Coturnix japonica: one gene and its partner. The protein of the gene in region 2 purifies or fractionates together with the protein of the main gene of each other region. This does not show direct contact. Links are inferred from orthologs where the notes say so. Each region holds a gene or a part of one and is shown on either strand. Other genes may lie near its edges.

Region 1 (4,423 bases), on a different chromosome or scaffold from region 2:
ATATTCAGCCCCACTGAAATGGGAGAAGTCCAGCTAATTGCTTGAGCAACAAAACATGATGCTCCAATAGGGATCAGTTCTGAAATTAAGAATTACTAGTACTTTTTCCTTCAGCACCTCCAACCATCCAGTCTGCGGGGCAAAAACAAAAAACACTCAGTTTAAGCCTTTTCTGGTTACATATAGAAGTAACCAGAAAAACAAAAGCTGAACAGCAATAGAATTAAACATTCAGACACAGAACATGAGCATTGGAGCTAATCAGTCTTTAAAGGTCCCTTCCAACCTGAGCCATTCCACAGCTCTACAGATTTGCTCTCAATAACTGCAAAAAAATATTAGATGCAAGACTAAACGCTACCCAAAGAAGGTAGGGTCACTCTGTCCCCACTAACAAATTCAATCCATAAAGCAACAAAACATACAAGGAAAACGACAACAAGAAGCAGCAACACAACAGCAAGGCCAACAGTTTCCAACAAAATGGGCTTCAACACCACTGACATCAGTCAGAACTGTCAGGACAAGTGACAAGTTTTTGAAGCGTTTCCTTTGGGAACAGATAAAGCTTTGTTTTATTCCACAGCCTAATCAGATTAAATGAATCCGCGTTAAGGACGGCACACTGTGTGATTTGCACCTTTCATATGACATGTTAAAAACCTTGATAACAACGGAACAAAATAACAAAGCAGTCATGGGAAGAGCTTTGGTATTTTGCTATCCTCCCTCGTCATCTTTAAAGAAGAAAACAAACAACAACAAGGACAACAAAAACCCACACCAAAGAAAAGCACACAAACCATAAGATGCCTGGGCTGCCTCAAGAGGATTATCATCTCGCAACTGATCTTCTTATTTGCTTTTAATATTGTAAGACCAGAAAAAGCTCCCTGGTACAGCAACAAGAGAGCGAATGGAGTTTTAGCGGCACAAATCTTTATTCTATTAGACTTTGACCTTTCAAACCCGCAAATCATCTACAGGTAAAAAGGCAGGCAGAATAACACCGGAGTAATTCTGATGACGGGCTTTGCTGTATGTAATGTCAAAATCACTTTGGAAATGCTATTTATACTTCATGAAGAAAAACAACATCATTCACCTCTCGTTCTCAGGGAGTCGAGTCAGACATCATCCCTGCCCACCAATCACTGGCACCCAGTCGGTGATTTGCAGAGCTACGATGTAACCAGTTAAGGAATGACTTGTAATACTGAGCTCCCTTCGAGCACACAGCAATCATAACCTGATTAGAGAAGAATAAATGCACAGAACCAGGCTCCTGAGCAACAGGGTAGCCTCAAGTCAGGCAAAGCTGCTGAAGTAACGCTCTGACAGCCTTAACCACAGTGCAGTCACTCTTCCAGTTGAGTTCACAACTGAAAGCAAACCCTACGCAGCCAAACAAGTGATGACATACACAGGAAACAGAGCAAAATGCAGCAAGATCTTACATTCTTACAATATCTTACATTCAGAATCGGATTCTAGTCTTCATTATTAAGGTGCAACTTATATTTGTAGGAATTCACATCCCTAGATGTCTACATGGGCAGGATAACGCCCACCGAGTTCACCACCTCATTTTTGTTTAAGAACAGTGCAATATAACAGTGTCCTAATTACCTCGCTTGACCATTCTGGAAAGATTGCAACTTGGTCAACCCACATCCCAATCTTTTTCTTCACCTTGAAGTAGCAAACAAGTTCTAAACTTAAGAACGAGAACCTGGCCCGTCAAAGCTACATAAGTATTATCTATATAGATTTTTTTAACTTTTTAGCTATCCAGGGAATTTAATACTGTGTGGAAGCTTTTGGCCTTCTAGAAAAAGAAGAACTATTCAGGCAAACCCGCATTATCTCTGGATTGCCACAGCCTTTCCTTATTTGGCTAACGTTTTGAGATTCCAATCAGACTGCTATGAAGTTCAGCGTGCACAAAGCATCCATTTTGAGGAAACTTCATAGCCCGTCTCCCTGCCCCGAGTGAAGTTCCCTCACGGCACCAACCCCGGCCACACACCCACGCCCGAACAAAGCCACTCGGCTCCGTCGCCCTGCTCTCCGACACGCGGAAGCAGGCTGGAAAAGCCCAGCTCCCGTCAACTTCAGCTCGCACACTGCGGCAGAAGAAGCGGGCTGTTAGTGACACGCGTTTCTATGTTGGGCACAAATCGCTTGTTTCCCTTTGGAACAGGGAGCGCGGCGCACGGCCCGGCTGTCCCCGCACACAGAGGAGCGGGCTTTCATCAGCCCCAAGCGCAGCCGAACCTCCGGACGGACGGAGGAAGCCGGAAACCGCCGCGGGGAGCGGCGGCAGCGGGAAGCGACCCCGCGCAGCGCCTCCCCTCACCTGCGGCCCTGCCCCGACAGCTCCCGGGGGGCTCGGGCGGGGCCCGCACCCCGATCCCGGCGGGGGGGAACTCCCGGAGGTCCCCGCCGCCGGGAGGTGACCCGGCCCGGAGGCTCCGGGGCAGAGGCCCCACGGCACGGCCACTCCCCCGCCGCCCCTGGGCCCGACCCCGCGGCCCCTCCCCGCCCCGACGCCCCCCCAGCGGACGGCAGAGCCGCCGCCGCCGGCCCGTTCCCCCGCGGCCGCCTCCCGGAGGGGCGCCCCGCAGGCCTCGCCCCCGGCCCTGCCCGCCCGGCCGCACCGACCTGGTGGAGCGCGGTGAGCCCGTCCACATTGGCGTAGTTGATGTCGGCGCCGCGCTCCAGCAGCCGCAGCACCTCCTCCGTGTCCCCGCTGGAGCAGGCGGCCAGAAAGACGGCGCCGTCGTCGAACTTCACCTTGGTCTTTTTACGCTTGACCACGGGCGGCTCCAGGTCGGTTTCGGAACCGATCCAACGCTTCAGCTGCTCGTTCCGCTTCTGCTTGGCGTCCGCCATCTTCATGCCCCGCTCCCGCCTGACCCCCTCGCTATCGCCGCGCCGAGGATAGACTATATACCGCCCTATCCCACAGCGCACCGCGCTCGCCCTCACTCACCCACCCAGATGGAAGCGCAGGGCGGGAGGGAACCGAGGGGCGGGCGCTGCCGGTGGGTCATTAACATCATCCCGCGAGATTTCCACGCCGGGGCGGAACCCGAGGGAGGTGGGCGCTGGGGCCGTGAGCGTGACGTCACGCGGGGACGGGGGTGTTGGCGGGGCCGGGCTGAGGCGCGGCCGGAGTTTGGGCGGGCGGAGGGTTCAGGAGTTCAGCCCCAGGGTCAGCGGTTCGTGAGGGACTGACTGCAGGGCTCGGGAACCAAAGGCTGCGGGAGGGTGTGAGTCTGTTAGTGAGACTGCAGCCTGGAATCTGAAGCAGCGCGCCCTGCTTGTGTTGGGAGAGAAGGAATTGCAGTTCTTTGCCCTGCACGTTGCATGTTTGCTTTAGCTATAAACAGCGTATTTTCTGCTGATTTGAATGATCTCCGTGGCTTTGAGCTTACTGGAAAAGAAGTTCTAATTACAACTCATTATGGGAAACAAAGTGTAGTTTGAGAGGGTCACCAGACCTCATGCTCCTCAAATTGTGTGTGGTTTGTTCTTTCCTATAATCTCAGCCCAGGTCTCTCAGTCTTTCCTCATAATGGTGATGCTCCTGGCCCCTCAACATCTTTGGAGCCCTTCACTGGGCTCTCTCCAGCACTTCACAGAATCACAGAATCACAGAATGACCCGGGTTGGAAGGGCCCTCAAGGATCATGTAGTTCCAACCCCCCTGCCTGGCAGGGCCACCAAACATACACATTTACTAGATCAGGTTGCCCAGGGCCCCGTCCAACCTGGTCTTGAACACCTCCAAGGACGGGGCATCCACAACCTCTCTGGGCAGCCTGTTCCAGGGCCTAACCACTCTTTCCCTGTCTTTCTTGAACCAAGAAGCCAAGAACTGGACACAGTACTCCAGATATGGCCTCACCAGAGCAGATGAGGGGAGGAACACCTTCCTCAACCTGCTGGCCACACACTATAAAAATACCCAATTTTTTTTCTAGAGATATCACAGAATCACAGAATTGTAGGGGTTGGAAGGGACCTCTAGAGATCATCGAGTCCAAGCCCCCTGCCAAAGCAGGCTCCCTACACCACGTCACACAGGTAGGCGTCCAGGCGGGTCTTGAATATCTCCAGAGAAGGAGACTCCACCACCTCCCTGGGCAGCCTGTTCCAGTGCTCCGTCACCCTCACTGTAAAGAAGTTCTTCTGCACATTCATGCGAAACTTCCTATGCTGGAGTTCCATCCCATTACCCCTATTCCTGTCCCCACGCACTACTGAAAAGAGACCAGCCTCACCACTATGGCTCCCACACCTCAGGTATTTATAAACCTGGATCAAGTCCCCTCTCAGCCTTCTTTTTTCAAGGCTAAACAGACCCAGTTCCCTAAGTCTCTCCTCATAGGGGAAATGCTCCAGGCCCTTCACCATC
Region 2 (4,386 bases):
CGGGGTTCGCCCCTCAGTGGAGATCAAAGGAGGCTGGAGTGCTTTGGAACACTCCAGGTGCTGCCTTCCCCCAGCACTGCATAAGCCCACAGATCCATTCCTGACCCCGTAAGGGCCCCCTCCAGCTCCTGGTTGCCCTGGGTTGATGGTGAAGCAATGATATGGGAGGGAAAGGGCCAAATGCTGCCCTAGCAGCAGGTGCAGGATGCACTGCATGAACCTTCAGAACAAAAGGCATGAGGTGGCAGGGCAAATAAATACATACATAAATGGGAAAGAAAAGAAAGACAGCCAAGCAGCTAAGAAAGAAGGTTTGATATTCAGTGAGTTACCTGTACAGTTTGATCAGCCAGAGGCCAAAGCTGTGCACGGAGCAGCTCCAATGCTGCTGTAATGTGGGATCTGCACAGCCCAGGAGGGGTAACCCAAGAACCTGCTCACACTTGGGCCTTTGGGAAGTGAAAGCCACTTAGAAAAGGAACAAACATCCCAGCTCGGGATAAGCCTAAAGATTAAACAGGTCCGGAAATGCTGAGTGGTGCAAGAAAGTATTTGTGGGAAGAGGAGAGATTTGTGGTTAAGCCTCCTGTTCCCACAGGGCCGGCTCGCTGCACTACTAGTTAGTCCAGCCTTTGACTATCTTTGGCACTTATGGAAGAGCCATTGGTGTGTGGATTTGATTTGCATTATAATGGACTTATGCTACCAGACAAACAAGTCTCTGTCCTAAGGGGCTTCCACAGGTAGGAACCTTTTCCGGTGGCTCAATGATCCCCTGCACAGGCTTTGTTTGGTGCAGAAAGGGAAAGCCAGGGCTCCTCACCCACCCCAGGGATGGGATCCCCCTAGGCTGGTGGGTGGGAGCTGTGCTGCAAGGCCTTGGTTATGCAGCAGCATCAGATAGGGGAATGGAAACGGCAGATCTGACTTAATGAAGAGCTGTCGGAGAGGAAAACCTCTCCAGTTTACAGTTGTTTTCATTGACACGCTCCAGGGGCACACTAGCAAGCCAATTTTACACCCTTCTGGTGCTCAAAGCCTCATTGCTTGTGTACCACAGGGTGCCTGAGGCTGAGCTGCCCGAATCACACCAGGTCTATGCTTGAGGCTGAGCTCTGCATTGCACAGAGCCCACTTACTTCCAAATGGGCCGAGACAGCAATTCAGCAAGTCACGACTTCAAGCAGACACTCAGGGCTCTGAGGGGCTCAGCTTTGCTTGCACACCACCGAGTCAACATGTAAAACCAACTCAACACCAGGGCGAGAGGAAGGGAACGATCCTTGAGACAGGAGTGAGATGTTTGTTCTTCCACATCGGATATCTGCAAAGCCCTCTCAACCCAGGAAGCCCGACTGGGTCAAGTGGGCTCTGGGTACAGCAGCCCCCCGGCTCATACCCTCCTTGAGCCGCATTCCCCCGGTACCGGGGGCTCTATACACCGCCGCGGTCCCTGTTATATTAGCGGGGCTGAACCGGAGTCGGTATCGCCGCACGGGAATAGCAAAGATGCACCGAAATAACACCGGGGGAACGCAGGACCAGCTCTTACCAGCTTCCCGGAACGCTCCCGTGCTTTCTTCACCTTCCCATACGTCCCTTTCCCCAGCGTTTCCAGGAACTCGTAGCGATGCTTGAGGTTGTGTTTGTGGTGGTGCCGTTTCACCGCCTGCTTCTTCATCAGCGGCCGTGGAGATTTGATGAACCCCTCGGCCAGCGAGGTGCCCCCGAGCCCCACAGCCCGCTCCATGCCGCTCTCCTGCCCGGCTCCGCCGCCAGCCCCGCTCCTAAATGCGACGGCCCCGACGGCCGCGCCTCCCCGCTCCCATTGGCCGCCCTACAGCCCGCCCCACCCGGCTGCCGGTACGGGGATGGGGGGGCTATGGGGCTGGGCAGGTGCAGGGGGATACCCGGCACCGCTGGGATAAAGGAGGAGGGGGGGGAGTGGAGATGGGTGTTGCCGTGGTGGTAATTGGGGGATGCGCAGAGTCGGAGGTGTAAAGGAGACAGTTGGGTGGGATAAGAAGGAAGAAAAGTGGGGTCCCGAGTGGTGGGGGTGTGTTGAAGGTGTGCAGAAGGGGATGGAGGGTGATGGTTGAACCCAAACTGAGAGATGGGGGGTCGGGGTGAGCAGCAAAGCGACCTGGTGCAACAAGAGGAGAGGTGCAGGTTAACCGGGGAGGGATGCATGGATGGCCACAGCCACACATACAGAACCACGACAGATCCGGCTCACTGTCAGAATAAAAACCAACCTATAACAGCGTATTGAGGGCAAAATCAAAGAGAGGAGAGACCAGACAGGCACAGCCACAGAGCGGTGCTCAGTTCTGCATGCACTGAGCAGGGATCTGTGGGTAGAACGGAATGTCTACAGGCTGTCCCAATAGAAATTCACTGTACGCTCGGCAGCACCTCCCCGTGTGGTCTTTTTTCTTTCTGCCCCTGTGGTAAGTCTTTGTTTTGAGATATTAAAAGAATGCGATGATCCTCCAGAGCAGCCCAAACAAAAGCTCTTGCCCAGTTCTGGCATGTGCGAGGACACACCGTATCGATGGAAGAAAGAGATAGCTGCTGCATTACTCATCAGACCTGGGTTTTCCCATCGCTTCCAGCAGCTCGGGGCAGACGGGGTGAGGCAAAGCAGGGGCTCATGTGAGGGATGAGAGAACAACCCCCGGCCTCTCTCTGCAGGCTTTGTGTCTATGGACACAGAGATATCAGCTGTGCCATCCCGTGTTGGGATGAGAGCCAAGCAGAGCTCCTTGCAGGCTGGGTACCAGAGTGCTGGGTTAGAAAGGTGCTGTTGAATGCATCCACCCCACAGCATAGACAAGGCAAGGGAGTGCTGAAGTCGAGACGTGGGACACAGTCATGCACATCCCTGCAGCCTCAGGACTCGCAATGTCTTGCACCCTTGGTTTGTATTGCCATTGCCATTGCCTGTATGGAGGAGCAAATCAATCCCCGGTTTAACATCAGCCATCTCCCACCTGTGAGGGGTTGGGGTGGGTGTCCTGATGGCATCCTGAGTCAAAGCAGAGTGGCACCAATGAATTATTCACTGCGCAGTAACAGGAGCTGCATTTCGATCTGAGGGCGGCCAGAGGGACCCGTAGGGGAGACAAACAAAGAGCAGATGAGATTAACTAAACTGCTGTAATTTCGATGTCAAAGTAAACAGATAGGATCCTGTTCAGGCACAGCCCAGAGGTTGCCGCCGAGTGGAAGGGGAAGAAGCAAAGCTCCCTGTTGCAATAGAGCAGAGAATGTCTCTGGTGGAGACGAAAGCTCCTGCACACTTACAGCCCACACAGCCACAGCTGTAGGATCGCTCAGGGTTTGCCCAGCGGCCCAGGAAGCACTCGAGCACGATTTAGCCTTAAGCACACGTTTAATGTCCTCTTGATTTACAGGAATGCCTTCCAGAGGCTTTCCCCGGGATGAAAGGAAATGACTCGGGTTGCTTCTCTTTCTGTTTCCAGCAGATAAATTCCTCTCCTCGGTTCTCCTCGCTGACACTCAGCCGAGGTATGCTTTTGTTCCAGGCTCCCTTCAGGAAGCCCTTTATAATGGAAATATCAAGGGACGCGGATCTAAGTCGGCTGGAATTCGCCGATAAGGATCCCTTCTTGTGGCCGTCTGTATTACCGCTGCTTCCTCAGCAGCAAACCCAAGGAAACCCAAGGAAAATCCCCAGCCCCATCCATAGCCATCCATCCCAGCTGTGCTCTCTGTAGCAGCACAGAGCTCTGTGTGTCTGCTAACACCGACGTGAAAGTCAGGCAGGAATTTGGCCCTGTGACAGGTCAACCTCAAAGCCAGTCTGATCGACCCGATGCTTCGTAAGGATGGGAGTTTGGTTCTCTTCCAGCCTGCTAGGTTTTTGTTATTATTATTATTATTATCGTTTGGATTATTATTTCTTAATGTAAATGGATGCTACAGCACTGCCTCTGTGTTACAAACATCCTTGTCGTGGTCAGAATAGACCCGTGTATAGCAGTCAGAACTTGGATAGGGAGAGGTGCCCTGCCAGGTTTTACAGAGCCAGAGGCAATAAAAAGACCAATGATCGCCTCTCATTAGTGGCCTCCCAGCCAACATCGTTCCCCTCCTGCTGTGGGGCAGCTCGGGCAGATGTGGAACCCATCCATCCTCCAAAAACACCAAAGAAAGGGGTTTTGCTCTGATCTTCCCCTCTGGGAGCCCCATCCATCAGCAGAAGAAGGGAAACACATTAAGCAGCAAAACGGGAGCCTTTGGAAAAGGAATTTATGACCTATTGAATCTCACCATCGCAGAGCAAGGCCACCTCGGCACCTGCACCTACCGCAGCTGCTCAGTTTATCCCCCCACCCCCTGCTCAGACCATCCAAGCCCAGC

The links.
Region 1: the proteins of NUAK2 (region 2) and PPP1R12A purify together in Homo sapiens (affinity purification with mass spectrometry; 3 studies listed by BioGRID and IntAct, counting the BioPlex papers as one, with this or other methods). This does not show direct contact. The link is inferred for Coturnix japonica from reciprocal best matches to the Homo sapiens genes NUAK2 and PPP1R12A.

What each region holds. Positions count from the first base shown.
Region 1 is NC_029516.1:36,036,806-36,041,228, forward strand, and holds the start of PPP1R12A (protein phosphatase 1 regulatory subunit 12A), read right to left. Parts: upstream 3,044-4,423; 5' UTR 2,902-3,043; coding exon 2,665-2,901; intron 1-2,664. UniProt on the Homo sapiens protein: Key regulator of protein phosphatase 1C (PPP1C). Mediates binding to myosin. As part of the PPP1C complex, involved in dephosphorylation of PLK1. Capable of inhibiting HIF1AN-dependent suppression of HIF1A activity.
Region 2 is NC_029541.1:2,392,484-2,396,869, forward strand, and holds the start of NUAK2 (NUAK family SNF1-like kinase 2), read right to left. Parts: upstream 2,904-4,386; 5' UTR 1,751-2,903; coding exon 1,553-1,750; intron 1-1,552. UniProt on the Homo sapiens protein: Stress-activated kinase involved in tolerance to glucose starvation. Induces cell-cell detachment by increasing F-actin conversion to G-actin. Expression is induced by CD95 or TNF-alpha, via NF-kappa-B.